Linked DNA regions of Lonchura striata. The protein of the gene in region 3 interacts with the protein of the main gene of each other region in a pairwise test. Links are inferred from orthologs where the notes say so. Each region holds a gene or a part of one and is shown on either strand. Other genes may lie near its edges.

The links.
Region 1: the proteins of SYT6 (region 3) and DVL3 interact in binary tests that used the Homo sapiens proteins (3 or more experiments, as listed by UniProt). The two-hybrid records come from large-scale screens. The link is inferred for Lonchura striata from reciprocal best matches to the Homo sapiens genes SYT6 and DVL3.
Region 2: the proteins of SYT6 (region 3) and ZBTB43 interact in binary tests that used the Homo sapiens proteins (3 or more experiments, as listed by UniProt). The two-hybrid records come from large-scale screens. The link is inferred for Lonchura striata from reciprocal best matches to the Homo sapiens genes SYT6 and ZBTB43.

The regions. Positions count from the first base shown.
Region 1 is NC_134612.1:18,724,191-18,734,293, reverse strand, and holds the start of DVL3 (segment polarity protein dishevelled homolog DVL-3), read right to left. Parts: upstream 4,194-10,103; 5' UTR 4,131-4,193; coding exon 3,964-4,130; intron 1-3,963. Other genes in the region: EIF2B5 (translation initiation factor eIF2B subunit epsilon), read right to left, coding at 9,431-9,496. UniProt on the Homo sapiens protein: Involved in the signal transduction pathway mediated by multiple Wnt genes.
Region 2 is NC_134624.1:11,323,221-11,332,851, forward strand, and holds the start of ZBTB43 (zinc finger and BTB domain-containing protein 43), read left to right. Parts: upstream 1-5,438; 5' UTR 5,439-5,547; intron 5,548-7,681; 5' UTR 7,682-7,704; coding exon 7,705-9,099; 3' UTR 9,100-9,631. UniProt on the Homo sapiens protein: May be involved in transcriptional regulation.
Region 3 is NC_134632.1:2,058,811-2,068,436, reverse strand, and holds the start of SYT6 (synaptotagmin-6), read right to left. Parts: upstream 3,934-9,626; 5' UTR 3,680-3,933; coding exon 3,526-3,679; intron 1-3,525.

The DNA of each region.
Region 1 (10,103 bases), on a different chromosome or scaffold from region 3:
TAAAGCAGTCACAGCACTTATCGAAGGTGCTCTCCTGCTGATCAGCGCACAGCTCTTACCTGTGAAACATTGAATGAAAAGATTCAAGCTGCAGGAAGAAACCTTCCCCCTCTAATGAGTGCAGTGTTAGCAGCCAAGGGTAGTTCCACGCTTCATGGTCAGAGCATCTCAGGTCCAAGAGGAGTCTACTACATCCATGCACTGCCACACTCACACCATCCATCAGCCAACCTTCATGTACCTCCATTTCTGGGATAAGCACCACACAAAGCCAACAAGGGCACAAATATCTGCACCCTGTTATGGACAGCTGCAGCCCACTGCATCAGGAAACAAAACCCTGCAGCCTTCCTGCTGCTCACAACTCCTCTCCCCAGGACCAGGTGCAGGAATTCTTCTCATTTCTTCTCTTTGCCACCCAGAAGTGACACCACTCTGGGGTCTTAATTATTTGAAGCTGAGCACTAACTCCTGCCATAGCCCGACAACTCCACAGCCACCCAGGGGAACCTCAGTTCACATTTCCAAGGAGATGTAAACACTGAAGCTGCTCCATCACAACTCTGATTCTCAGAGCAAACAAATATTAACAAGATAAACAAAAGAATGAAAAATCCCACACACCAAGACTGAGGCTGTAATACTGCTTTGGGGATGGGGTTAGCTGAAGGGAATACCAGACTGGAGATCCACAGCCTGGAAAAAAGGAGGAAGAGTGAGAAAGATTCAGACTGGGCTACAGAGGTGAGAGGAAACATTGGAGATTCTACTCCAGCTGGCTCTGGAAGGTGAGATGTCTGTGTTCCTAATAAGATGAGAAGAAAAGTTTGGTTTATGCCACAGGGATCCAGCAGAAGGTCCAAATCAGAACCATGGGAGCTGCAGGCCTCCTCCTCATTTATCAGCTGCCCTAAGGCCATCTACTTCTTCTCTCATTGAGGGGGCTTTAACCTGGGTCCTACTCCTGGACACTGCCCAGCTGACAGACACCAGCCCAGCACAAGCCAGACAGAAGGCACCCTGAGGGAATCCCCTCAGGGAAGGAGCTGAGAGGAATATATGTGTGAGAGAGAAATGCTTTTCCCTGTCACACAGCTTCTGAATGCCACCATTGTTAACCTCCAGTCTAGTTTTCACTAATTGCCCATGCATTTGCAGTCAAGCAGCCAAGGTGCCTCCTGCCCTTCTGTCTCTGATTCTCCCTGCAGGCCAATGGCTCACTTTCTCATGGACATCAATTACCAGGGATCATGAAACTTTGTGTGCTGCCCAGGGCTTCAGGGCTTCTCAGAGACAAGGCTGCAGCTGGACTGCTCTGCTTGTTCCCACCATGTTCCAGCCAACCACCAGCACATTCTTCAGCTCTCTGGAAAGCAGCAGAGACAGCTTTCCTGATGAAGCATCCATGGTGACAAAGGCTTGCTCTCTCTCTCACACCCCAGGCCTTGCACACACTGCTCCAACTGCTCAAGTTATATTGCCCAGGACTTCCCCAAGGAACAGGCTGCCTACACACAGCCCTGACCCCCTGTCAGCTGTGCCTTCCCTTCCAGAGTGGTTTACGCTTCCCAAAGAAATTAGCTGGGCTGGTCACAACAAAAATCTCATCCATACATTTCTGACGCAACTGATCTTGTGGTGTCTTCCTGAGTGACTTTCCCCTCTCCCTGCTATCACCCACTATAACTCCCTATGCTGCTTTACTGTTGAGTTTTGTTAATCTATCATCTAGCTCCTCTTGTAGAACCTTAAAGAGATAGAGGAGGATGAAAAAACACAGCACAAAACTTCACTGCCACCAGACCCCTCTTCCCAATGCAAGACGCTGCTATTTATTACTAAACTTTGTTTATAGTTGCACACTCTCCCACCCACATGGCAATGTTTCATTCAAGACAAGTTTGAATTCACTTCAAGAACAACATTTCAAAGGATCCCAAAGCATTTGTTTACAAACAGCATGCACAGAGAAGTCACTTCTCCCCCCAATGAACATGGTCCCCTCCGAGACAGGGAGAGGCAGCTGTTTCATAGCACCCAACGCTATAAAACAGCTGAGGGACAGGAAACGATCCACAGACAACTGATATTGCTGAGGAAATTTATGGAAAATGAAGGCTGGAGACTTCTATTTGCCAGGAGAGAATGGAGAAGCTTCTGAGAACTAAAGCTCTCCACTGGGTCAGGAGGAATTTAGGGAAGCAAAGCGTTTCAGACTGCGGTCAAAGGAGTGACTCCAAATTTCAAGCCTCATCTGAAAGCTGGCACCTCCCAAACTAACGGGAACCTGGGCACGGGGATAATTTGGCTGAGGAGGGGAGAGCACCCCCTGCTGAGGCAGCCACACAGATCTCATCCAAGTCCCAAACAGGCCAAGCCCTGTTCAACATGGGGTACAAGCCAAAATCACAGCCCAGAGAGGTATCTGGTGCAGTGAGAAGACACTGGGAAGAATATAAAACTGAAAACACTTTGCAATCCCAGCTCCATGCATAAGACCTACTCTAAACACCAGATCTTCAGAGGAGGAAGTATCACACCACTCCTTCAAACATCAAAGTGCTAGAAATGGTAAAGAGTCACATGTTGTAGAAACCAAGAGAATCCCAGGATGGAAAAAGAGTGGCTAAAGGAAAGTCAGATGTAGGAAATCTGGACAAAACAGAGTGAGGACAGAGGGTCTTACAGGGAGCTGGCTTCCCATGGTATTTGCTCCCCAGAACGTTAACCAACTTTATGCAGGTAGGAGACAGCAGGGGCTGCCCAGAAGATAAGCAAGTACAACATCCAAACAAGAGACAGAATATACCTCCTCACCTCCAATGAGTCACCTGCGATGGGAGGAACCAAAGGGCATCACAAAAGAAGTGATGGAAACACCACTGTTGGAAGAGAGTTGCCCTGCAGGAGATGGGATATAAGACAGGGCTGCACCCCTCTTCTATACCAGAGATGGAGCACGGGACATCTCACTTTGAGACTGGGACATGTACATGGGTACAGTGAGTCTTGTATACACCTCCTGCTCAGAGATGGGCAGCACATGGAGAGCTCTCACTCCTTCTTCATGGAGGTAGGGGAGGACAAAGCTGGCCTTCTCTACACATTCTTCCCAAAAATTAGACGCAGAGGACAAAGCTGACAAAATGGATGTCCCTCCCCAAAATGGATGGTAGGAAAACAAAACTGTCCCCAACTCCATTCCATGGAAAGGGCTGATGGAGGTGGCTCACCCTTCTGGAGGAGGGAGCAAGGGGCACTTTCCCTAGGCAGGCACAGTGGGAGATGCCCAGGCCCTTTTGGTGGGGAGTGACAGTCCTGAGCAGGATATAACCTGGGGATGCCATCCCCGACACCCCAGTGTGGGCTGCATGGGTGAGACCACCTCAGGCAAGGTGTTGGCCAAACATCCTGAGTACGGGAGGGAGTGACCCTCAGATGGGGATGATGGTCTTCTCCAAGGTGCCTCTGGCACCTGAAGCAGGGTATCACCAGCTCCCTCACTGAGGAGCTGGCATGGCGCAGCTTCCCCAGAGCAGATGCGGGATCCGAGGATGTGCGGCTGTCCCCGGAGGCAGCACCCAGGGACAACGAACCCCAGAGAATGTGCACGGGGGTATCACCTCCAGCCTCCCACAGGTGAGGTCCTGGGGTGCACGGAGGGCGCGTCCCTCCAGAGAGAGCCCAAGGGGGTCACCATCCCCATCCTCGCCAAGGAAAGGCAACGGGGATGGAAGATGGATCGGGATCACCGGCCCCGCGCCGGGCACGAGCGGCGCCTCCCCATCCCGGGGGTCCCGGCCCCGCCGTCCCGGGGCGCTGCCGGGGCCGAGGGGCAGCCAGCCCCAGCCCGGCCCCGCGAGGGCGGGAGCTCCCCGGCCACCCGCACTGCTCCCCGGGGAGGCCCGCGGGGCCCGGGCTCCACGCGTGGCCCCGGGGGACCGGGCCCGGGCCCGCGCTCACCCGAAGTCGTCGTCCATGGACTTGAAGTAGAACTTGTAGTTGGGGCGGTTGAGGAGCCCCTTGAAGTCGCCGAGGGTGACGCGCTCGGCCGGGATCGGCAGCTTCACCAGGTACGGCGTCTCCTGCTCGTCCAGGTGGTAAATGATCTTCGTCTCGGCCGCCGCCATGGCGCCCTGCCCGGCCGCCAGGCCCCCGCCTCTGCCTCCGCCGCCTCCGCCGCCCCGGCCCGGACCCCCGGTCCCGGCCCGGCCCCCGCCCGTGCCCCGGCCCGGCTGCGGCCTCCGCACGCCCGGTCCCCCCGCGCCCCTTGTTCTCCGGTCCCAGCGCCGCCCGGCTGCACGGCGCAGGCTCGGCCCGGCCGGCCCCGCCCCGCCCGCCGTCCCGGCCCCGCCGGAACCGGAACCGGCGCCCCGCGGGGCCGCGGCGCGGGAGCGGCCCCGGGAGCAGCGCGGACGGCACCGGGCTCAGCGGGCAGCCCGCGAGTTGGGGCCCAGAGCCCGCCACCGTGCCGGCCCGCCCGCTGCCCCCGAGCCGGATCCCCGCCGCTGGGACGGAGCCCCTACACACCCATCCAGCCCCGGTGCTGCCGTGCCCCGTGAGGGTGCACGGCCCCGGGACTGCCCACCTCCAGCCCCATCACCCCTGGGTGCGTTGGCATTTATACTTTACATCCACATCTTCCTATCCGCAGCCTGGTACTCCCCGTGCACCCACATTCCCAGTGCCAGCTGGGAATACACCTCTCCTAGGCTCCCCACCCTCATTCAGCTTTCACACCCCCTTTACACGCTCTGATGGTGCCTCACACACAGGGTCATTCCTGTGTCCCGCGACCTCCGATTCTGTCCACACCCCAGGCCTCCCCTTCTATCTCTGCAGCTCTGGTCCTTTATCACACACCTCTCAGCCTTCCCCATGCTCCTCTACAGCTATGTGCCCCATGAGTACAGCTTACAAAACATGAGGCATATCCATCTCTACACCATCCTCCCAGGTACAGACCCCTTTGAATTCTCCATACTGTCTCAGATGGCCACCACACACAGAGACTACCACACACCCCAGAGCTCCTCTCCAGCTAGGGCTTCCCTCTGAACCCCTTGTCACCATCCAACAACTAACCCCAGTGCCCAGACCTTTTCCTTACCAAGCAGACTCTTTCCTCTGCTCTTCATGAGAATCCTCTCTTCCATATACCATGGCTTCTTCAACTGGGCACCCTTTGGCTGTGTGGTTTCTTCCCATCCTGTCTCCCCAGACCCCAGCAAATTCTTACCTATAATCATCAGCACTGTGACCCCAGCCCCCAGGACTTGCCTCTGTTCCACATCAGTCTCAGGTTGTCTGGTTTCCACCCTGCACACCTTGCCAGCACCCAGCAGGCACCAAGGAACCATCTCCATCAGCAGTTTCCCAGAGTTGTGGCTAAGAGCAAAACTGGGGTGGATGGAGTTTTGGGAACACCCACCAACAGGAAGGGCAAGAACCGCCTTGCACCATCCTGGATTAGAAGGAACATGCAGAGGAAGCACCACACCACGGGCCTGCACAGGGCATGAGACAGGGCATGAGACTAGATCAGCCCTCAGACTAGACTCCCCTGCCGTAGGAAAAGGAGCCAGAGAGATCCTACAGGGAACAGAGCCAAGTTCCTCAGGCAGGCAGAGCTAAATAAGCCTTCTAATGCATTAAAGAGTCCTGCAGGCATTGCTAGTAATTACCTGGGCAGCACTGCTAGACTGGGGGAAGAACCTGACATTAAACTGAAAAAAGAATAAAAATTCAAGGGAAGTCCTCAGGTAAACAGAAGTTGTAAGAGGTCTGAGACTCTGATGTTTCCACATCAGCTCTTGGAAGATTGTAATTTCCTTATGCCCAGAGCTCTGTAGTAAAAGCTGGTGTACCTGGAATGAAGAATCCAGGTCAGGAATGGAAAAGTTTAGTTTGAATTGCTTCTTCCTGTGTCAACTCTGACAGAGCTAATCTTAAAGTCCTTTTGCAACACCTCCGTGCCCCAAAAGCAGGCACATATGAGAGAATCCTAGTGTGTACCTGGCAGGGCCACTGCCAGGTCTCATCCACCTCGCAGCACAGCCATGGGTGCACCTTGGAGCCTGTATTGTACACATCAGACACATTTGTTACCAAAAGGGCAATTTTTGGTACTGCCGAGCTCCCAAGGGAGCACATGCAGCTCAGGGGAGGGGTGCCACACCCCCAGGGTAGTAGTAGATGAAATCTCATTGCTACAGCTGCCTTTTCTTTTAAAACAGGCCAAGTGACTGAATAGCCTCAATGATAGATCAGTTTCACTGCTCACAGAGGCCTTGTGCTGTATGACTCACTGAATGGAAGTTAAGAACACAGTGCCAAAGAAATTAGCAGGAGGGGATTGTGCTGTGCACTCCAAGGTCCACAAGGAAGTTTCTGAACTGCCTGTTGGCTTATTTTTGCAATTATTGCAACTTAAAAATTGTAGCATCGATAACATTGCTTCTCCTTACAGAGTACAGGCTTCAGACATTTTAGTGCATCTTGGAACAGCCCAAAGCAGAGGCGGATGTACTTGAGTTCCATCACTTACACCTTTAAGCAAATCCAAATTATTATCTTCTTTTAAAAGGGTTACTATTGTTAACTGAAGTTGTAGGTTTGATAAAGGAACACCAGGTTCCTTCCTTCCTTCCTTCCATCCATCCATCCATCCACCCCTCCCTGTCAGATGGGAAGGCAGACAAGTTGATTATTATAGTCTTAGGAAAATAAAGTACTTAATTGCTTGCATTTCTCAGAGATGGGTAGCAATGATTCCACATTCAAGATTGCTCTCAAAGGCATTTCTAGTCTTCTAACCAAAGAACCATCTTGACTGAAGCAACAACAAAGCATCAAGCCCACCCTACACTTCAGCAATGGAATAAATGCTCCTTTAAAAAGTACAGCACGTATCAGTACATAAGGATGCTTCACCATGCCAGAACTCCACCTTGGAGAGTATCAAGTGTTCTAATTAGTTTTCTTTTTGCTACTCTATTCTTGGCATCTGTAAAACTACCCCACTACACACACCACCAGTGCCTGAAGGATGTGGCCATAAAGCAACATTCTCCCCTTGGATTTTAACTCTCAGGTAAAAAGCAGCTCATACCACAAAGTTGGAGCAAAGGAGGAAGGAATGTGGAAAAAACAAAAGTGGAATTGTTACTTGGCAGAAATAATCAAGAACTTCTGGCAAAACTGAGCCATTTACAGCACTACACGTTAAATTTATTCTTAAGCCATATTTACTCTGTAAAAGGAAAAAAAAATATTTGAGACTTCCAAGGAGATTTTAAAATTACTAAGTCTTGCAGCTGGTTTGTAAATGGTTTGACTAAGGGCTTTGTAGCTGCTTCTGCCAGTTCCCTGCCTCTCTACCGGTTCTTATTTCCCAGCATCAGGAGGACACAATGCATGATGTATCAGCCAACATTCCCATCAATTCCCATAATGACAAATGATAAGAGATTTCCTTGGATTTAAGGTTCATCTTTGCAACATAATTCTGTACAAAACCAAACCTCACCCACTTCAGGATTCCAAGTTCAGACATTTTAATGAATTGTTCTCACTAGTTGCAAACAGGGCTCATGAGTTACCATCAAACACTTTCACTCATGAAATGCTGTGCCGATTTCCTACCTGGCTATTGTGTGCTTAAAATCTGAGGAAAAACAAGTGATGAGTTATTTAACTTACACATGAAGCCCTGCTCAGGCATGTAAAACTGGAGACATACAATTTCAAGTAAAAAAAAGCAAACAAGCTGGTAACACCAGGATAGTTTTTATTTGCTCCCTGAATTAAATATTGGCAGATACAGAAAATTCAGATACCAACAATTTCCCCAACATTTACAAGACTGAGTTTGCAATGTCAGAAAACAAGGACATTTATGCACAGTCCTGGCAACTGATAGTGTGAGTGCACAAGATGGCCCTGCCTGAACATCAGCTTTTTAGAGGCAGTATCCCTGGTCTCCAGCATCCAATGCTGTCCCCTCACTGACAGTTGTGGCACCACGGAACGGCCAAGTAAATATCCTGAGTGGGCAGCTCCAGTGCAATTCCTCCTGCAAAGGATTTATTCCGTGCTCCTCCTGAAGGGGCAGAGGCTAGGTCAGCAGATCCAATACCCCACCCATGAACACAAGCTGATGGCTGCGGTACCCTTTTCACCCTGTTCGAGAGCAGGGCAGAATGCAGCACAGTGACACTTCCAAGTTAGCTGCTCTTAAAGGCCTTGCTGCTGCCACACATTGTCTGAGCCAGAGGCACACTTATTCCCTGCTGCCTGCCAAGCTGTTCTGTGGCTGCAGAGCCTCACAGTGGGTTTGCAGCACTTTTCCTGCTGTCTGAGGGAAGTTTTCAAATAAATAAACGGCCATGAAGTAAGCAAGCTTATGTAACTGAAATCATGTGGATACACAGACGTGCTGCTGAAGGAAATACCATTCGCTCCTTTTCACACTGGAGCAGAACTTAGTAACTTGCATTCTCCTCAAAGCAGCTGGTGCAGTCAATGCCCCCAGGGCAAAACAAGTGTAGTTGGTGCAGCAGGAGAAGCCAGGCACCTCTGCACCCTTTTCTTAAAAAAAATAAGAAACAGACACTTCTCTAAAACATGTCTGCTAAGCTGGGGGCACAGAAGAATGATCACATGCAGGATATGGTGATCCGTAGAGCCATCCACCATCAACCAACCCTGTGGGGAAGCTGAGCAAAACATCATCCCTAGTTTTATAGCACAGGAAACACATGGTTTTACCAACTCCACTGTGCAATTTGTGTTAGATCCTAGCATGGCAGATGGCAAGAGATTTTCCCTTTTGGAAAGATCACAGAAGTGCCTTCTAGGCTGCAAAATGCCTTGGGCATCCTCAGACAGCTGCATCTTCTTTAGGCATGAGAACTCCTGAATTCTAGTCCTTCACTCCAGATCCTAATCCACATGCTCTTACACACCAACCTTGCCGGTGTCTCTTCAGCAGGAGTTCCTTTAGCTCCAGAAGCAACAATGACTCCAAAAACCTTAGCTGTATGACCATTCTTCCACAACCCTGATGGTTAGATCTAAAGGGGCATTGTATGCATTTGCATCTACTCTCTCCCTTTGTATTAGTAACAAGAACCTCCCAAAAGATAGCTTATAGTACATCATATCCAGGCTCCAGAGGGATTTTAGGTATCACTGCCTCCTGCTTTTCCCTTATAGTTTTTATACTGGGTTGCAACACAAGGTGCAAATGAGGGAGGGAGGGAGGGAGGAAAGTGGCAAAGTTGGGAACACACAACTGAATTAATGATGGGATTGTCAGTCACTTTGATGTCAGACCCCACATCTATACACCATGCACTGGCATTGATCTTGCCCTGCCCACTTGGCCCAGAAAGGCAGTGAGAGCCTCTTCTCATGCTGAGCCACCATGTCAGTCTTGGTCGCCATCAGACGACTCCTCCTCTGCCTCCTCCAGCCACTGGATAAACTTCTGGAGCTGCAAAGAGAATGAAATGTAATTGGGTAACAACTGACACCTAGGAGATGCTGGAAATGCTCAACAAATACACTGTGTGAGTGAGCATCACTACCATGCACAGGAAAGAGAAAGTGTTTCCAGAAGAAACAGAAATTGAGGAAACAGATTCGGGAAGCAAGAGACAATTAGGTGAAAAACAACTGGGATGCCACTGACAAATGCAGACTGATTAAATTCCTAAAGGAGATTCCTCCAGTCAGACAATCCCTCCAACACTCAGCAAAAAGACAAAAACTTGAGAGGTTTTCAGAGCTTCAGGGCAAAGAGATGGCAGCTGAACCTTAGCTGACATGTTAGGAAAACTCTGCTGGGAAAAAAAACTCATTCCTCAGAAACTGCTATTAAAAAGGCAGCTCATTTTATGTTTTAACTGGGCTTGAACAAGCAGCTGAAAGCACTGCTGACCTATACTAATAGCTGACTTTGCAAAGGTCTTGGATAAAGTTGTTCTTTAGATGGCTTTTTTTCCCTCTACTTCTCTTCCAGATCCAGGGAGGAGGACTGGAACAGGGCTCAGCCAAACTGCAGCACAAAGTTCTGCCCAACAGAGGAGGGAGGTTTATAT
Region 2 (9,631 bases), on a different chromosome or scaffold from region 3:
ATGTCTCGTTCCTGGCCTTGTGACAGAATTTAGACAGTAAAACACTTAGAATCAGATTGCTTCACAAGAAAGAATGAATTGAATTTTTGCAGGTATCAAATATCTAAGAGCTTTAAAGAGCTAGCATCTGATAACAAATGATTCCTGCAGGAGTCTGGTGTTGATTTATTCCAAAATATGTGTCTACCTGCAGTCATTGGCATCAAGCTGCTTCTTGAAAATACCAGGATATAGCATATGACGCCAAATAATTTTTTACCATTTTTTTGTCCAAGGTGCTTCCAGAGAGGTATCTCCTCATGTGCAGTTAAAAAAAAAAAAAAAAAAAAAAAAAAAGCCAGGACCAAAATAAATTCAGACAGAATGCAAACACATTGTGTAAAGAAATATCTGAAAGTAAGGCACATTTTTTGAGACACTGATGCAGAATTTTCTTTTTACCTCTCAGAAAACTTCTATAATGACCACCATAATTTAATAGTAAATTCTGAAGTGCTTCCAGCCACATCTGCTGTTTCCATGCAGTGCCTTGAACAGGGTGGAATAGGACAGCACCTCAACTTGTAACATAAAATTTATCCCAATTTCCAGGTTCAAAGATAGTGGCTTCTCTGGAGAGAGTCTGGGCATGTCATGCTTTGATCCCTCAATAAGTTCAGAGGAAAAGCGGTAAAAGGCAAGGAAACATTTTGTTCAATAGCCAAGTCCACCTTATTCCCATTGTATTGCAAAATCTACTCCACCCCATTTCAAAGCAGACATTTCAGTCTACTCCACCCCATTTCTGCACTTTCAAGTGCACAGACTCTGATTTAATCCTGGAACAGACTCATGCACCTATCATGAGAGATATATAAATGCAAAGCTTACAATAGTGCTCTCACTACACTATAATGTCATATGTGTTCAGATATAAATATAATAGAATTTTAAAAAAATATGAATCAGGAGAAACATACAGATAATCCGTATTCCAAAATTCTAAATTTTGGTCACTGCATGGTTTTTTATGATTGAGCCAATATCCAGCAAAATTAGATTTAGTGTTCTTGCTTCTTATGAAATTACACAGAGGCTGCTGCTTTATTCCTCTCCAGGACAGTAAAAAGCAATAAAATTCTTGCAGATTTCGACAGCAGGCAATTCAATAAAAGGCTATGTATATTTTATAAGTACAATAAAAACAAGTCTATAGCTGGATCATAAATGGAGGTTTGTTTGGTTGGTTTGTTTTCTGCACACAATCAATGTTGGGGTCTATTTTCAGCACAGGATGGTCTTCTTAGCACACAGCCGTCCCGTTTTGGGGAGAAGCAGAATGAAATTTATATTTTTATAATGTATTACTTAAGCTTTGCTCAAGGGATTTTGCAATGTGTGTCTGTTTAAAATTTAAAGGTGTTGTGGAACTGAATACTTTCCTATTCTTGATGAGTGCTATAAAATTTTACAATTCTTTTTGTTACACTTTAAAGTGTATCTGTCTTATCATTGTGGCATTCCCTTTTTTATGAGCAAACAATAAATATTTGATATGCACAAAATTATTTCCTAGACTTCCGTCAATGCTCACTGGTTTTTTAATTCTTCAATAATATAATGGGGCGATTAATAGATTGCTGTATTTCTGAGCAGTAGTATTACAATGCATTTAGTGACAGTGTCTGTCTGCTGAAATAGAAAATTTTATACAAATGTAAAACCGAAACTAACAACATACAAATGACCCACCCTACATAATTACAGCTGTATCAATTTTTTCTTCTCTCTTAGAGAAAGAAATTTTAAAACTCTGAAGAAGCTGATTAAAGAAAAAAATACCCTCCCGATTTGTCTCTGAGACAAGTTCTCCAGCACTAAAAATCAGTGCGAGGTTTATCTGAGCAGGGTCTGTGGTGTCGAACCTCAAGTTTTCTGGAGAAGAAAACTTTTCTATGTAACTACACAGAATCCACAAGTACCAATTTGCCCTTCTGAGTAGTTTGGTAGTTAAAGTCTGACTCATACAGCAAAGTATAGCCAGTGTTATATTACTAGATGTACCAAGAATACAAAGTTTCAGAAATATATTAACATTATAGGACAGAACTAAAGACTTTTTTCATCATCAGAGTGAAGATAAAGCACTGTCGTCCTCATAAAACTGTATAATCTTGCCATGCAAGAATTATAGAGACCTTTTGTTTACAAACACAAGGTGATGCAGACCATCTCCATCTCAAAATCCAAACAAGTATGCTTTGGAGAGACACCTGTGTCAGCCTATCAAATGTCAAGATTCCCTTCCAGCTCACTTATTAAAACACAGTATTTCTTGCTATAACAGAAAAGGTATGAAACCCACTGCCTTAAAAATAAATTATTTAAATGAAACACAGCAGGGAGTAGAGAGGAGTCAAAAAACATACTATAATAAGAAAAGGATTCAAGGGAGGAAAAATATAGTCTCTAAGCTTAGCTGAATGATCATTCATGAATTTGACCCAAACTTCCAAACCTCAGCAAAAAGTAAAACATACAAATACTAGTTAATGCTGTTTCCATTTGCTTCCTTTGTAAAACATAAATTTTGATTTAACAAACTACTCTTGACTCTGCAGCCCTGCTCCTGCAGTCAGTGTTATCACATGAAGACTGCAGAACTGATCACATGAAGGAAATCCAAAATGCTTTTCATGCCACACTCCTGTTTAATTATAACTGGTAATGTGGCAGATCTTAATTTTAAAAACATGATTTTTTTCCCTGAAGAAAATGCTGGAAAGAAGAAAAATATAGCAAAAGTAGCTGTTAATTCCCCAAATCCTGAAAAGTAAGCCTTTACAGGAGCTCACAGCACAAAAGTTTCAATGCTAATTTGAAAGTGCTCTCTATCTCTTAGCCATATAAATTTTTTTTTTTGTATTTCAAATAATAATAACTATTATTATTATTATCTGACTCACACCACAATGCCCTTCTCCCGCCTATTCCATCTACTAAGTGTGCTGCAGCCAGCTGCCATGTCTTGTATCCCTTTTTCCACAAATATTTGTGCAGGAACATCCTTTGTTTATTCATTACTCAGCCCTGTGGGATCTTGGCTCTTAACGGGGACTGCCAGTGCTAATTCAATATAAATTCTGAGCCAATATAATATTCCAAATCTTGCACTGACAGCGTTATGAAAAAGAGCAAGTTTGTATCTATTCTGTAAACTTGAAGAAAATTCAAGACTTCATGACTGACAAAGGATCAGGTGGGATAGAAGACAATGCTTTATTATTAATCCTGTTTAAGATAGATACTGTATCACATAAATGCAAAAATCCATCTTAGCAAAGAATTTAGGTACTTCCAAGATTATGAGAGAGAAAATGAGGGTTTGGTTTGTAATTCTCCACCATGATCTCAGAATTCTGCTCCATAGTTCAGAGCTGTACCAGATGATTCCCCTTGCAGTTGTCTTCTGTTAGGCACAGCAGAGACAGAGGCCATTTCAGTGAGAGGAGGGGAGAGGAGTCTGGCAGGTGAAGAATCATCAGCACCATTTTAGCAGAGAAGGTACAGGAGCTTTCAAGACTCTCACTGAGATCCCAGTTTGCAGTATGAACTTGACATTAGTTGGGATATCTTCAAAACTGAGATACGCTGTTGTGGGCTTCCTACTGGGAAGTAGGAAGCTATGTGCTGTCATAGCCAGAGGATGAAACTTGCCGAGTCAGGTATAAGCTGTGTGTGTTTTTTGACTCTATACAGAAATCTCTCATTCAAAAAGTGGAGTATATGGTTTCTTTCCTATCCAAATGCTTAGGAAAGCTACCTGGCTGACCAAGCAAGATGCAGAGTTAATAGTTTGGTTGTTTAGAGAGAATATCCACAATACCCCCCTACAAAAGTGGTTTGTGCAATCAGTTGTGGTGAAAGTCAGATGACCCTTGTGAACAGCTTCCCCACCAGCAGGGAATACTTAATTCCCTACAACCTGGAGCAACTGAAGCCTTGCTCTTGTCTCCTGAACATGCAACAAGGGCTGCGCTGTTTATGCCACTGGGGCTAGAGCTGAGTTCTCTTCTGTTGTGAGTTGATTTTACATCTACTCAATAAATCATTGTTCACTTTTTGTAACACTTTGCACTTCTAACTATGAAACCACAATGTTCTCCACACAGGCCAAAATATATGCTTTGGTTGGCTGCGTGCTATTTCATCTCTCAAAACTTCCTTGCCCTACTGCTTATCATTCTTAGGTAGTGCTTTATTTGGTCATGTACTCTCATAAAGCCTATAGAGACAACTACACAATTGTGTTATGTTAAACATCATCCTTCTATTTTCCCATTTCTGTATTACAGTTTTTATTAGGATTCCAGTCCTATTAATGTAGGAAGGATATGTACTTAATATGAGAATGTGCACTATCAGACTTGGCAAGAGACCAAATTTTGTTCAGATGTATCACTTGCTAAAGCAGGGATGGTTTCTATCTAAAAATCCTTCAGCTCCCATGGAACAGCTTGCTCTCCTTCCTGCCCCAGGGTTTAGCACGTTCTCTTGCTCCAGTTCAGCCACAGGAAATCTCTATGGCTTTTACTCAGGTGAGATTTTCAGGGGCACGAGCTGAGAGTCGGGACAGCTCCGCTACAAAACCTCATGCTCCGGTTCAGAGCTTTGCCGAGGCTGTTGCCACTGCCCATGTGTGCGCAGGGCCGTGCCCAGGTGTGCCCAGGTGTGCCCAGGTGTGCCCAGGTGCGCCCAGGTGTGACACAGAGACATCCCGGGCTGCATCGGCGGCTCTCAACCAACCGGGAGGGCCGGTCTAGTTGAAGTCTTTGTGATGCATTTAAAAACTGAAACATTCTCATCTGTTTTCTTTAAAAAACATTAAAGTCTAAGCATAACTAATACTAATTTTTTTGTCAATTTATTTTCCGCAGAAAGGGGTGGGTTTCGGGCCGGGCCGGCAGGGCTGGCCCGGGGGGGAGTGGCGCCCCCTGCGGGCCGCAGGGGGGCGGGACAGCTGTGCGCGGCTCGGGCTCCGGCGCGGGTGTGCTGGGTGCGGGCCTTGGAGCGGCTGGACTGCAGGACAAGCCCCGTGCCCCAGCACATCAGGATCTGTGCGGGGGACAGCGGGCTCCAGATGTACTGTCTGGTGGCGCCCCCCCGGCAGTGCTCACAGTAGCGCTGGGTAGCAGCTGCAAGGGGCAGCAGGCGCAAAGGGAGGGGACAGGACAGGACGAAACGGGACGGGACGGGACGGGACAGCTCGGCCCAGGGGGTTTGGGATGCAAATCGTTCCTGCTGAGCGCTCCGATGAAACAGCTCCGCTCCCACGCGGTGCCAGCAGGGGGCGCCGCCGCCGCCCCGGTGGAGCGCCCTGCGGGCGGGAGCGGGGGGGGCAGGGGGGGCGCGGCCGGCGCGCGTCACGTGACAGGGACGCGGAAGTGCCTGCAGGAAGGGGGGGCCGCTGCTTCCGGTGTGGACCGGGGCGGGCGCGGGCAGGGCCGGGGCCGGGGCCGGGGCCGCACCGACAGCGGCCCGCTATGAGAGAGGCGCCGCGAGCCGCAGGTGAGGCGCTGCCGCTCGTGCTGCCGCCGGGCCCGGCCCGCGGGCCCGCGCCGGGGCGCGGCGGGCGCGAGGCCTTCCCGCGGGCGCAGGCCCGGGCCCCGCGCTCCACGGGCCGGGCCGGGGTCCCGGGGGCCGAGCACCGGGCCCGCTCCAGCTGAGCCTGCCGGCCGCGGGAGACGCCGGGGCTGTCGGTTCCCGGCTGCAGTTATCCCCGGCATGCCAGGAGGCCGAGAGATCGCGGTCCGCAGGCCGCGCCGGGGACGGGAGGGACTCCTTGCGAGCCATGCTAGAGCTCACGGCATTTTAAAGCAGCCTAAATGTGGCTTATATCTTTTGCTCAAGGCTTTAGCGTGCAGATTGTTTTTCTAATTGTTATTAATTGAAGTAGAAAGACTTTGTTCTTTTATGAGTTTGGAGTAAAAGTACAGAACAAAACAGATTGTAGAAGGAGGCAGTGAAATCCCTTTTGAAAACTGGTTTGCTTGAATTCTGTGGCTTTGCTAATTGAAAATATTTTACTTACATTTTATCGGCATGACGACTTAAAATACAAAAAAGTCTCCTGTCATCTGGAAATGTTTTTGTGGTGACATGCTGACTCCCTGCTGAAAGATGGCACTTTAGATTATCAGTAATTGTATATAAATTCTATAGACATCTGTCTTTAAACTTCAGTTGAATGTCTTCTGAAGGCTTGTTTTTATTGTAGGCATATATTGAAAAATAGAATCTTAAATCTGAGAATATTCTGAAGGGAGGTAAGGAACTGCGTCTGTATAAGAAAATCCGATTGTTTCAAAAAGTGGATGTAATACACACAAGGTATAAGATTATTTGAAATACTTTAATAGTTATGTCAAATTGTTTTAAGCAAAGTGGTAAGAAAAACTAATAATTGAACTGGTGCAGTATTCCGTTGCTCCCTGGAAAAGTATTGGTAACTGATTCAGTTCTGAAGAGGGTTGGTGGAAAAGAACCTGAGGAGTGCTGAAGACAGTAAATTTAAAGGTGGTCTTCTGTAATTATATGAGTGGCAACTTCATGGAACTTGACTATGGAAAGCACTTGCTGCTCCATGGCTCTTCAGATTCCCACAGCACTCAATTTACACATTATCAAATAGAAAAATTGCACAAGTTAAACTTAACTCAAGCAGTTAATGTTGGTTTTTCATAGTGGCATTTAAATTTCTGACATTTTTAATTACAACAGCATGCAAATTTTTCTCAAATTCAATTTAAAATTTCAAGTATGCATTTGAAAAAGCTGTATTACTGCTAAAAGGGCTGTTAACCTTTTTGTAAGACATCTGGATTGTGTGAAAATACAGATGTGAAAATCTGGGAGCTCTTAGCTGAGATTCTGTCATGTAATTGTTACGTTGTTACAAATGCATGAGGAGCAAGCAGGAAAAGTTCTGTGCAGCAAAGGCATCAACTCTGTCTGATTTCCCCAAAAGGAACATCCTAACCCAAATATAATAAGCTTGGAATTAAAAATTGTACAAGTTGTTGTTATTCCACCTTTCACTTAGTGAAACATTAGGGAAATACATGAGAAGGATCATAAGCCTTATTCTTAGTGGGGTTCTGCCTGTGCTTCCAGCGTCATCCTGTGAGTTGATACAGTTGCTTTTGAGAAATTGATCTGAAGTGAAATATTTCATGAGTAAAATTAGTGTTTGTTGGGAGATAAATGAGATGATTTTGCTAGCATTTGAAATACAAAATCTTTAATATGTTTGTATAAACTGTGAAACATCCTGGAGTTAGAACTCTACCATATAATTCCATGAAAAAACGGTTTCATTAGCCTAAACTCGTGTTTGAAATGCTTAGTCTATCCCAATTGCATAACTTACTGTTGGTAGCTCCTGCTGTAGTTCATGAGTCCTCTTGAAGAGAAGAAACACAGCAAAATATGCTGGCATAGCAATTTATGGCCTTAGTACAGCTTTCAGAAGAGAGAAATGAGGTGGCTTGAGAGAAATACAACAGTGGCAAAAGGTTGAGTTCCATGTGAGTCTGTTAAGAAAAAAAGAAAAAAACTTAGAAGAAAATGGAATGGTCAATACTTGACCAAGCAGAGTTTCTAATTTTATTTCTTATTTTTATTTCATATTTTTTTCCTGCAGCACAACACTAAATTTGTAATGAAATGGAGTCTGGGTCAAGCTCCTTTCGAGTGGAATTTCCAGATTTTTCTAGCACCATTTTGCAGAAGTTAAACCAACAGCGCCAGCAAGGACAATTATGTGATGTGTCCATTGTGGTTCAAGGCCATCTCTTCAGAGCCCATAAAGCTGTTCTTGCAGCTAGTTCACCTTACTTCTGTGATCAGGTTCTCCTGAAAAACAGTAGGCGAATAGTCCTGCCTGATGTGATGAATCCCAGAGTATTTGAAAACATTCTTCTGTCTACCTATACAGGCCGGCTGGTAATGCCTGCGCCAGAAATTGTTAGTTATTTGACAGCAGCAAGTTTCCTTCAGATGTGGCATGTAGTGGATAAGTGCACTGAAGTGCTTGAGGGAAACCCAACAGTTCTGTGTCAGAAGATGAATCATGGCAGTGACCATCAGTCCCCAAGCAGTAGTAGCTACAATGGCCTTGTTGAAACTTTTGAACTTGGCTCTGGAGGACAGACAGAATTCCACAAAGTGCAGGAACTAAGGGATGGTGAAAATGAAGAAGAGAGTTCTAAAGATGAACTGTCGTGCCAGCTGACAGAACATGAGTATCTTCCCAGTAATTCTTCAACAGAACACGATAGACTTAGCACTGGAATGACCAGTCAGGATGGGGAAGAGGGAACTAGTGATAGTGCAGAGTACCAGTATACCAGACCAATGTATAGCAAACCCAGCATCATGTCTCACAAGCGGTGGATCCATGTGAAACCAGAAAGGTTTGAGCAAGACTGTGAAGGCGTTGATAATCCTTATGATGAACACCAAGTTTCTGAATCCATGAATACCATCCAGGCAGATCACTCAATCCAGTCTTCAGGTGTTGAAGATTTTCACATAGGTGACAAAAAGATGGAAGCAGAATTTGATGAACAGGCAGATGAAGGTAATTATGATGAACAAGTTGACTTCTATGGGTCGTCTATGGAAGAATTTTCTGGTGAAAGGGCAGATGGAAATTTGACTGCTCACAGACAGGATCTTATGATGGCAGCGGGCTATGGTGAAAGCATTGATATGGCTGCTGGGATTAAAGAAGAAACGTCTCTTACTGGATTCTCCCATGCTGATAAGCTCTATCCTTGTCAGTGTGGAAAAAGCTTTACACACAAAAGTCAGAGAGATCGGCATATGAGTATGCACCTTGGTCTTCGACCTTATGGCTGTGGTGTCTGTGGTAAGAAATTCAAAATGAAACACCATCTTGTAGGCCATATGAAAATTCATACAGGCATAAAACCGTATGAGTGTAACATCTGTGGGAAAAGATTTATGTGGCGGGACAGTTTTCATCGGCATGTGACCTCCTGTACCAAGTCCTATCAGGCTTCTAAAGCTGAGCAAAGTACTACTGAGATGAACTGAGACATTAGTGCTTACATTTGTTTAATAGAGTAAGAAAAATAAACTAAATATGCAAATAATGTCTGGTACTTGCTAGTGTACACTCTCAAAAAAAAAAGTTTTTATAAGTATGCTGGTATGAACAGATCAAATGTGTTTTGCTTCCTGCAATATTACTTCAGGTGTTTATTGTGGGAAGTGCATGTGGTTAATCTGAAAGGTGCCTGCAAAATGAGGTCTGAGATTGATTGTAACCACAGCAGTATTTAGAAGCCTTCTTGTATTTCCAAGTAATCTGAATTCACAGTAAAACTCTAAATTGACAAAAATCCTGAAAATACTTAGATTAATGAGAAATTTAGGTAGTTACTCCTTAATGGAAAAGAAAACTAAGATGACCAAACTGGAGTATATGATTCACATTTAAATGAAGAAAAAAGAATTCCATCTCAAGGTGAAGACTGCCAACATACTTAACATGCATCATTAGGTAGTGTGCCTCATTCAGTAGCCTTTGTTGTATTGCTTAATGAAAGGTAGTGGTAAAGGTGGT
Region 3 (9,626 bases):
CACCATCCTTTAAATTAACAACACCAGATCCTGGTTCTAGTCACAGAATCATGGAATCCCAGACTGGTTTTGGGTGGGAAGGAGCTTGAAGATCATCCAGTGCCATCCCTGCCATGGCAGGGACACATTCCATTGCCCCAGGCTGCTCCAAGCCTCAGCCAGCCTGGCCTTGGACACTTCCAGGGATCCAGGGACAGCCACAGCTGCTCTGGGCACCCTCTGCCAGGGCCTCCCCACCCTCCCAGGACAGAATTCCTTCCCAATATCCCATCAAACTCACTCTATTTAGTAACTCTCATCAGCCCTGCAGGATCATTTCAGAACCAGCCAAGCTTCCCCTGTCTCCCCCAGGATCTCCTGGGACAGGCTGGCAGCCTCTGTCCTTGGCCAGGCTCTGTGAACCACGGGGAGCAGCACCCAGCCCAGGGGAACCCCAGAACCCCCCCAGCAGGACATGAAGCCCAGCTCCTGGGCTGCCCAGCACCCCGTGTCCCAGAGCCCAGAGCCTGCTGCAGCTCCACTCCCACGGGCAGAGGGGACAAGCACAGGGGACACATCACTGTCCCCACGGTCCTGGGGGGTGCTGACTCCCCTGCCCCACAGCCAAACACTTCACCTTCAGCACAGCTGCACCTCAAACCCTCTCAGTGACACCCCAGAGCTCTCACTGCCCCTCCAGGGCACAGAAGGGATGAGTCCATCCTCTCAAAGGCCATCACCTGTGGCCAGTGCTGTCCCCAGAGCCCGGGTGGCACTGCCAGCATCCCTGCCCGGCAGCTGAGGCCTGGCAGGGAGCAGAGGGATCAGATGGAGGCAGCTCCAGGGGAGGACTGGCGACAGGCACGACAAAAGGATGCTGCAGCTCGCTCCATCTCGGGCCAGCCAGGAGATCAGTTCTATTCCTGGCACCGCCACAGGCACAGCTCCCCCTCACAGCCCCCCTGACAGCGGCACCAAAACCTCCCTTCCCCAGCCAAACTCCTGATTTTTCTGACTGGTTTGGCTGCGGGCGAGGCAGCAGCCTGCAGTCCTCCTCTGCTGGGTGTGCACAGAGAAATGCTGCAGCTCGGCTGCTCTTCTTGGCTGTGAGGAGGAGATTCAGCTGTTACATAACCAGGGAGTAGAGGTGCATCCACTCCATCCACAGCAGCCCTTTCAGCCACTCAGTCCAGAATGGTTGAAAAAAAAAATTAACACCGCACAGAAACTTACTCTTACATAAACTATACAGTAGTATTGTTATATTCACAGGTTTTTTCCACTCTTGGATGCAGTTCAGGAAGGGTGATGATACCTGGCTCCACACATTCCCTGAGGATACTGCTCCCCATCCACGCATGAAACAGCAGAAAAGACCAAGCTGCCCCTGTGCTGAGCTGTGCAGGAGCACCTTTGGCAGTGCTTCCTTCAACCTGAACTCCAGCAGGACACTCCACAAGCCAAGCTGATCCAGCCAGTACTAAATAGATTTATCCAGGAGGCAACAAACTGCCCGAGAAGCCGGAGACTCCACATGATGATGACAAATGAGGCCAGTTTGACTCCAGCAAATTTGGCGTTTGGCTGCCGGGGCTGTGCTGCCCGCACAGGGACACTCCAGCAGGGCAGGGCTCCTCTGCCCTGCTCCTGACACAGCACCTGCCTGCTGCCATCTGCTCACCTCCACACAGCCCCACCTTCCCCCTGCCTGCTTTGTGAGGATGGCTCTGAACACAGGACTGCAGCCAGACCACAGCAAATCTGCTCCACGTGAGACCTCGGGATAAAATGGACAAAGCATCAGTGCAGATAATTAAATCAACATCCAGACGCTGATGGGGAAGGCATCGTACCTCTGTGACTGTGGTAGTAAACACTTGATGCAAACAGATTTTTTCCCCTTGCTGGAGCAGCTTTACAGGCAGGAACTGAGAAATATTAGTACATGTCAGGCCCAAACTGTGTCCTCTGTGCTGTCTAGACATAAAAATGGGCCCAGTCATGCAGAGCAGAGACAACAGCCCTGGCTGCTCGTGCAGCCAGCCCAGCACAGCTCGCCCGGGGCACTGGGGCTGACCACAGCTCAGAGCACACAGACATTCCCTGTGCTAAAGGCTGATGATGATGATGATGATGATGATGATGATGATGATGATGATGTGATCCCGACATGAACATGAGGTCCTGGACAGGCTGTGCAAACAAATGCAGACCTGTCATATCTATACAGAACAAGAGCAGTGAGGAGTATTTCTGCTGCAGACTCAGGAAAATGTTCATTTTGGTGCAAGGTAAAGAATTCCAAATCGATGCAATAAGTTTGCAAGCTGTTTGCTCTATTTGCAATAGCTGCATGGGATGTGATGTGTAAGGACACAACCGGCCATGGTAAGAGGCCTCCAGAACAGGCAGCTTTAAAACAAACTCATTTGAAGAAGAGAATTAAGTTACAGGCAAAGTGGGATGTGGAGGGAGGGTGTTTGCCTGGAGCTATCAGCAAAGCCGTGCTGGAAGCACCACTGCAAACCAAGGGCTGGCAGAATCCTGGTGCCCTGTGCCCTGGGGGTGCCAGCTGCATCCCAGCATGAGATCCTGGCAGAGAGGGGAAGGAGAGAGGGAGGGAAGGTGACACAGAAAGCCCTGGACAGGGATTGATGGGCAGCTGTGCCGCACGGGGGCTCTGCACAGTGTGCTCAGCAGAGGAGGAGAGTTTGTGAAAATTCATGGTGTAAAAACGCTGGAATTCCACAGATCCTTGCCTTAGAGGAAACTTAGGAACCTTAGAAGAAACCCTCTATGAAAATGTTGGAATACACAAACAAACAACTTTGAGCAGGTTACTAACAATTCTAAAAGCTGTGAGATTTGGGGTGTTGCTCCTCAGCACATGAGCCTGGGTTCCAACTGCCCCTGCCAATGTCATCTGAAGTGGCAGCAGGAGATCTCTCTGGAGTGAGCAGCTGGGAGAATAGGTGTTGGGAAAATTCCCCACTTTGCAACACGGAGCTGTCCCTTTGCTCCTGGAGCAGAATTCCTGCTCCTGACTCATCCCTGACACACCAGAGTCCCTCCCTGGCTCTACAGCCCGACCAGGAACAACTCAGGCAATCCTTAGGGAAGGTAGAACACACACATGGAAGTACACCAAGGTCCCTTCCTGATGAACAGAAATCCACGCAGTCCGTGTGATTCCCTCCATTTCTCCAACACCAATCAGTTCCTGCCATCCCAGCGGCTCAAGCAGGCTCTCTACTGCTTTTTGTTGGTTTGCTCTTGTTTCATACAGGACAGGAGTCTGTGTTTTTGGAAAAGGATCTTTCACAGGAACTTTATCTCAGGAACTTTATCCTGGCTGTCCCCCCGTGCAGCCATCAACAGGTGAGGCAGGACTTGACCCAAAACTTCACCGTGGAACATGTGGGAAGGGAAGGAACCCTCCCAGAGGGTCTAACACGGGTCTCCCAAACCTTTTCCTCCCCTGTAGGGCACGGATGCCCCTCCTGCCTTCCACGAGCATCCTCCGGCAGACGGGAGCAGGGGCCGTACCTGGCTCGGAGATAATCAGGCTCTGGTCAGAAGGCAGCAGGAGGAACTCCCTGCAGGTGTCCAGGTCCAAGCCGGGCAGGCTTTTCTTCTGGCACAGCTCGGTGAGGATGCTGATGGCCCTGCGACAGCGGCCATCCTCCCTGGGAGCGCTCATGGCCCCCCGCGCATCCTCCGCTGCCTCCGCTCTTTGGGAAAGTCTCAGTGGGAGGAGAGGCTGGGCTCGGCGCTCGGCACGGGAGCGGCTTCGCTCCGGTCCCACGCGCGGCCGCGGCAGCGCCCGCCGGGACACGCGGCGCCGCCCGCAGCCCGAGCCCGCAGCCCCCGGCGCTCCCGGAGCCTCATGGCCTCTGAGATCACAGCTCTGCTCGCTGCCAAGGCTGCTCCCGGCAAAGAACCTCCTACCAAACTCCGATCCGTGCCCTCCGCACGAGACGCGGGGAAGCTGCAGCCCAGAGCATTCCTTTTAACCCTTTCGCTGCTGCCCTCTCTGCGGGCGCGGAGTTGGGCGTCCCAACCCTGGATTTTGGCAATGAAAACGAGCGGTGAAACCTCCAGGCTGAGACACAGCGGAGAGGAGGAACCGGAGCGCTCCCACAAACACCGCACAAACTCCTCACAACTGCCAAAGGCGCAGAAGAAAAGCTGCGGGTTTTATTGATCTGTTTGTGCTGTCCTGCCACAGCAGGCTGCAGGTGGCAATAGAGATTGAGAATGCCATTCTAGTTCATAATTAGGTTTTTTTCCCTTTTACTTTCCGTAGTATTTTTTTTTTTATTCCTGTTGCAATTTAGCAGGCAGGTCATGCCACGCGACAGAGCATATATTTGACAGGCAATTGTGGAGCAGGCAATTAAAATTATGTACAGCAGGATGACTTCTTGCAGCTTGTACAAACCTAATGAGCATTGTGGAGAGCCAGGGCTGAGGCTGCACAGGTCCCTCAGCCCCACAGCACAGCAAGGCGTGCTCAGATGGTGTTTGTGCTTTTGTTAATGACCTGCTGGAGCACTGGGAGCTGTCACAGCAGAGCATCCCAGGGGTGGCACCAGCACCCAGGACAGCACAGGCTGCCCTGGGCACAGAACCTGCTCCACACCCCATTCCCAGGCTGGACAGTTCCTCCAGCTCTGGGGCTGGTGTGACACAAAGGGTCTGGGTGGCACTTGAGGAGCACAGAGGTGTTGCCCAGCACCCCTGGAAAGCTGCAGCAGGGTCCTTCTGGCCACTCTGGTCCCTCCTTGGCCAGACCAAGGATTTCTGGACTCGTCACCACCACATCCCTGCTGTCCCCACTGGCACCTTGTCTGGCAAAGCCACTTACCCGCCAAGCTCTGCTCCTCCCAAAAACTTCTGTTGCCAGGACAACGTGAGTGAAACCTTTTATTAACCCAGTAACTGGTCACAAAGAGAGGCTTTTAATTAAACATTGTCCTGGCCAGTGCTCCATGAGCTGCTGCTGCAAACAGTGAGGCAGAGCTGCACACTGAGAGCTCCTCCTGAAGGTGTTTGTCACCTGCCACCTGCAGCCAGCACCAGCAGCTCCAAAGGTCTGTGTTTACTGGGGAGAGAGTCAGACGCTGGGAGCTAAACCAGTAACTTCCCAGAGATCACAGAATCCCAGAATCCCAGAATAATGAGGTTGGAAGAGACCTCTAAGATCATCAAGTCCAACCTGTGCCCTAAAGCTCAGGCAGAGTTTGCTTTACATTTAGATGACAAACTCCATAAAGACACTCACACATTTATTTTTTAAGAAATTTGAGGATCAAATGATGCCTCAAACCTGATCTTTGGGTCCATACAACATCTAGTTGGCTGGGGAGGGAACAGCTCCTCTTCTCTGCTCCTCCTCTCACTGCCTGCCCTGGGGTATTCATGTCCCAGAGTCCCAAAATCAAAGGATTTGTACCCAAGGGGATGCAATGAGCCCCAGGCATCACGTCATGTCTCCAGCACAGCAACAGTTTCTGCCTGAGCCACCAAAACTGCCACCAAGAGAGGAATTCTGGAATATATCAGTCAAGTCTTGCATTTGAAATTTGAATTTATCTTAAAGAGGTTTCAACAGACAAAAAAACATCACAGCTAAACTCTTTGAAAAAGGTTAATGCCCAATTGAGAGCTTGTAACACAGAAATCAATAATAAAATTCAATTATTTGGGGGAAAAAAGGGTAATTTTATTACAAGGGTAATACCAAGAACTTTTACTTTTAAATTTAAAGTCACCTTGGGTCAAATATTCACCTTGATTTACATATCAGAGGATTCCAGGCTTGCTCAATAGCAGTAACAGAAGATCCTGCATCCATACTCTCAACAAATATTCCTTCAGAACAAAAGCCAGACTTTTTTTACACCTTGTACCTTTGAATTTATGTCACACACACTCTTTATTGTCCAGCACAGAAGGCTGGGAAAGAGTCAGGTGGAAGCTGAAAATCCAAACACTGTTTGATTTTCTGGTTCCCAATTCTCCTCTCCCACAGCCACACACACCCAGCAGCTGGGGCACAGATTTTCCCTCTCATGTCCTGCTGAGAAGATCCCACTTTGGAGAAGTCAAATCCCACCCCAGACCCTGCAGCTCCCTCCACCCCTCAGGGCAGCTCCAGAAATTCCATTTTCCAGCTGCCTCAGGCTGAGCTGCCACTTGGACCCCAAACTGCTCCCCGAGCTGTGTTTCCACCTCCCAGCATGAGAAGGAGATAATTCCCCAAATCCCAGGGAGCTGGCAGAACTCAGTGATGTCTCATCCACATCCCCCTTGGCATTTTGGGTGGAAATTTTGGGTTTCCTGTGTCTGGCAGAGCTTTCCCTGCAGCTGCCTGCCCTTGGCGTGCAGGGAAGTGTGGATGCCTCTCCCTTTTATCTCAGCATTTCTCTTCCCCCTGCTCCTGTCCAGTGGCCTGGGGTCACAGCTGGAGAGGCAGAGCCAGGAGTTAAACGCAGCAGCAGCGGCCCCAGAAGGGCTGGCAGTGGAGTAAACTTCGGGAGAAAGTGGCTCAACAGGCTCAACAAAGAAATGAGTTACAGGCAACACAGCAGCTCTTGAATTACCTCTGAAATAACCCCTGAGGGCAGGAGCACAAAAGGAATTAAAACTGCAAGGAAAGAAGGAAAACTGAAACTTGTGGCAGCTCGAGGCTGCTCAGAGAGAAAAGCAGGGAGTGGGAAAATTCCTAAAAACCGAGAGCCACAAAAGAGCATCATTTTCCCTGCAGTAAAGCAGAAGCCAAGCACCAGAGACAGTATTGCACAAACATTTGAGGAACTGGGAGGTTTCACAGCACGCTGCAATTGGATTGATGAGGGCGGTGTGCTCCAGACATTTCCATTGGAAGGGATTTATTTCGGGGCTGGAGCAACCCGGGCCAGGGGCAGGTGTCCCTGCCCATGGCAGGGGCTGGAAGGGGATGAGCTCCAAGATTCCTCCCAACCCAAACCATTCCATGATTCCACGAATGTGCCACTAAGCTGGAATCACAGCTATATTTTTCCAGCTGAGACAGAACTCGCTGTTCATTTAATCCGCATTAGGATCTATTTGAAGCTGATATTTTTATTTCTTAATAATAACCAAGTCTGGAGAGGGAGCAGCAGCATTTCTTTGTGCCAGCTCTATCTAATAGCATGGCATTGTTTACTTTCCCAGTTAATATAATAATTGGAAACAGCTCACAAAGGATCCAGAGCTTCTTGCCAGGAAAAATGACGCGGATCTGGATCCTTTGGCAACGGCGCCGAGTCATCTGTGGATAAACACAACACTTGGGCATTGCTGTGCCTCCACACGCTCCTCCAGGGTGGTGTAGCTGTGTGAACAGAGAGAAAGCCAAAATCTTCACCTCATTCCTGCCTGCACAGAGCAGGGGTGTGTCCCTCACCTGCACGGAGGAGGAGAGCACCTTATCCTATGGAGACAGCGAGGTAGATTCAGTTGAAGTCCAACACAATTAGTTTAAAAAGCAATTACTTACAAATCTGCTGCACAGAGCAACAGCAGAAATATAAAGGAGATGCTGGTTCCCTCCTCCTGTGTTCTGAGTCGCTCCTGGCTGTGCATTCCCTGGAAATTTGGGGGTTGGGAGGAGTTATTTTATTACAGATCCTCTGCTGCTTGAATATCCAGGAAGGAAGGGAGAAAGGGAGGAAAAGAGGAAGGGGAAAAGGGAGAGAGGGAGGAAAAAAGAGAAGAAAAGAGGAAGGTAAAAAGGGAGGAAATGAGGAAGGAAGTGAGGGAGAGAGGAAACGAGGAAAAAAGGGAGTAAATGAGGAAGGACGGAAGGAAACAAGGGAGGAAACGAGGGAGGAAACGAGGGAGGAAACGAGGGAGGAAACGAGGGAGGAAACGAGGGAGGGAGGGAGGGAGGGAGGGAGGGAGGAAGGAAGGAAGGAAGGAAGGAAGGAAGGAAGGAAGGAAGGAAGGAAGGAAGGAAGGAAGGAAGGAAGGAAGGAAGGAAGGAAGGAAGGAAGGAAGGAAGGAAGGAAGGAAGGAAGGAAGGAGCTGAATTTGTAGCCTAGAATGAAAATCCCTGGGCTGTGCCATGAGCGCACTCTGAGATGAGGAGTTTAAAGATAAATCACACATTTCCCTCCTGGGCACAGCCTGGGAGGAAGCTGCTCAGCCCAAAGGCCACAGTGGCAGGGGGTGGCAGTCCCGGCTGCCAGCTCCTGTCCTGCAGTGCCAGCGAGGCATTCTGTGCAGGGCTGGCTTCATTGGATTCAGAGCAAGGAAATGTGGCTCTGTGTCCTGAAAAGCTCCAATTCCAAGAGGCATCTTGGACTATGCTGTGTTGCACACAAAGCTGGAGCCAGGGGCAGGGGGATTTGGAGCTGTGTGCATCCCGGCAGGAAGAGTTCCAGAGGCAGGACTACCACCAAAAGCTCTTTCCTGGTGGTGAGGCTTCTGAAATACATTTTATTGACCTGGAATCTTTGCATATCCTCAAGGTGAAGAGTCAGATCCTGATTTGGCAGGGCTGGAAGCTCTAAAAATCCATTTCTGCTCCAGCAGCATCAGATGGCTGATGGTATCAGCTGAGCTGTGCTCAAATCCATTGTCCAGGGAGCTCAGGGAGCTCTGACCTTCCAAAGCTGCCTTTAACACCAGCCACAGCCTCAAGAAAATGAATGGAGTGAAAGCCTGGCCTGGCTGAGGTACCAGGGACCCAGGGAAGGGCTGGAGCTGTGCCAGGGGAGGGTCAGGCTGGAGATCAGGAAAGGTTCTTTCCCCAGAGGTGCTGGCACTGCCCAGGCTCCCCAGGGAATGGGCACAGCCCGAGGCTGCCAGAGCTGCAGGAGAGTTTGGACAGTGCTCCAGGGGTGCCCAGGGTGGGATTTTGGGGTGTCTGTGCAGGGACAGGAGCTGCACTGGGTGGTCCTGGCAGATCTTTCCAGCTCAGGTGCTCCATGGCTCCATGCCTTGGCAGCCTGGTGCCAGCCAGGGCTGTCAGCCTCTGTCAGCCTGGCAAGCTGGGCTGATTTAGGACATAAATTTTAGGAAGATTATGGCAGCAAATCCCTGGAACGAGCATTAGGCTGGGATTAGGCCCATTTCAGTTCCTCTCCCTGACTCAAAGAGTTAATCCTGCCTCCCCCAGGTCACCATGGCTGTTGTTGGTCCAGGGCTGTCAGAAGGCTCAAGCTGGCCTTTGCCTAAAAGTTAATGATCAATATTAACACATCCTTTCTCTGAGAGCAGATGAAAAACTGCTGCTTTTAGGGTCTCATTTCAGCCTTCTGTGCATGGACACCTCTATCAGTGTCACTGCATAATTTATTTTTAAAAGACTGCAGTTTCTTTGAAGGCCAATAAAGTGCTGGTGTCAGAACCCAGAAGAGAGATTAAAATTTGTCCTTGGTTATAAAGTGCTAAAGATTCCTGGGAAGCCTTTGCTCTCACATCCTGCTCAGCCACTGCAGCTCAGGGGAGCAGGAGGAGCCCTTTGCCATTTAATCCCAGCAGGTTCCAGGTGGCACTCAGGGTTTCCAGAGCAGGACGAGGCTTTGGCCATTGATCCCCAGCTCCAGCAGCCATGAAATGAGGGATCTTTAGCTTTGAAACATCCCCACTCCACACAGCATATGGCTTTATCTCAG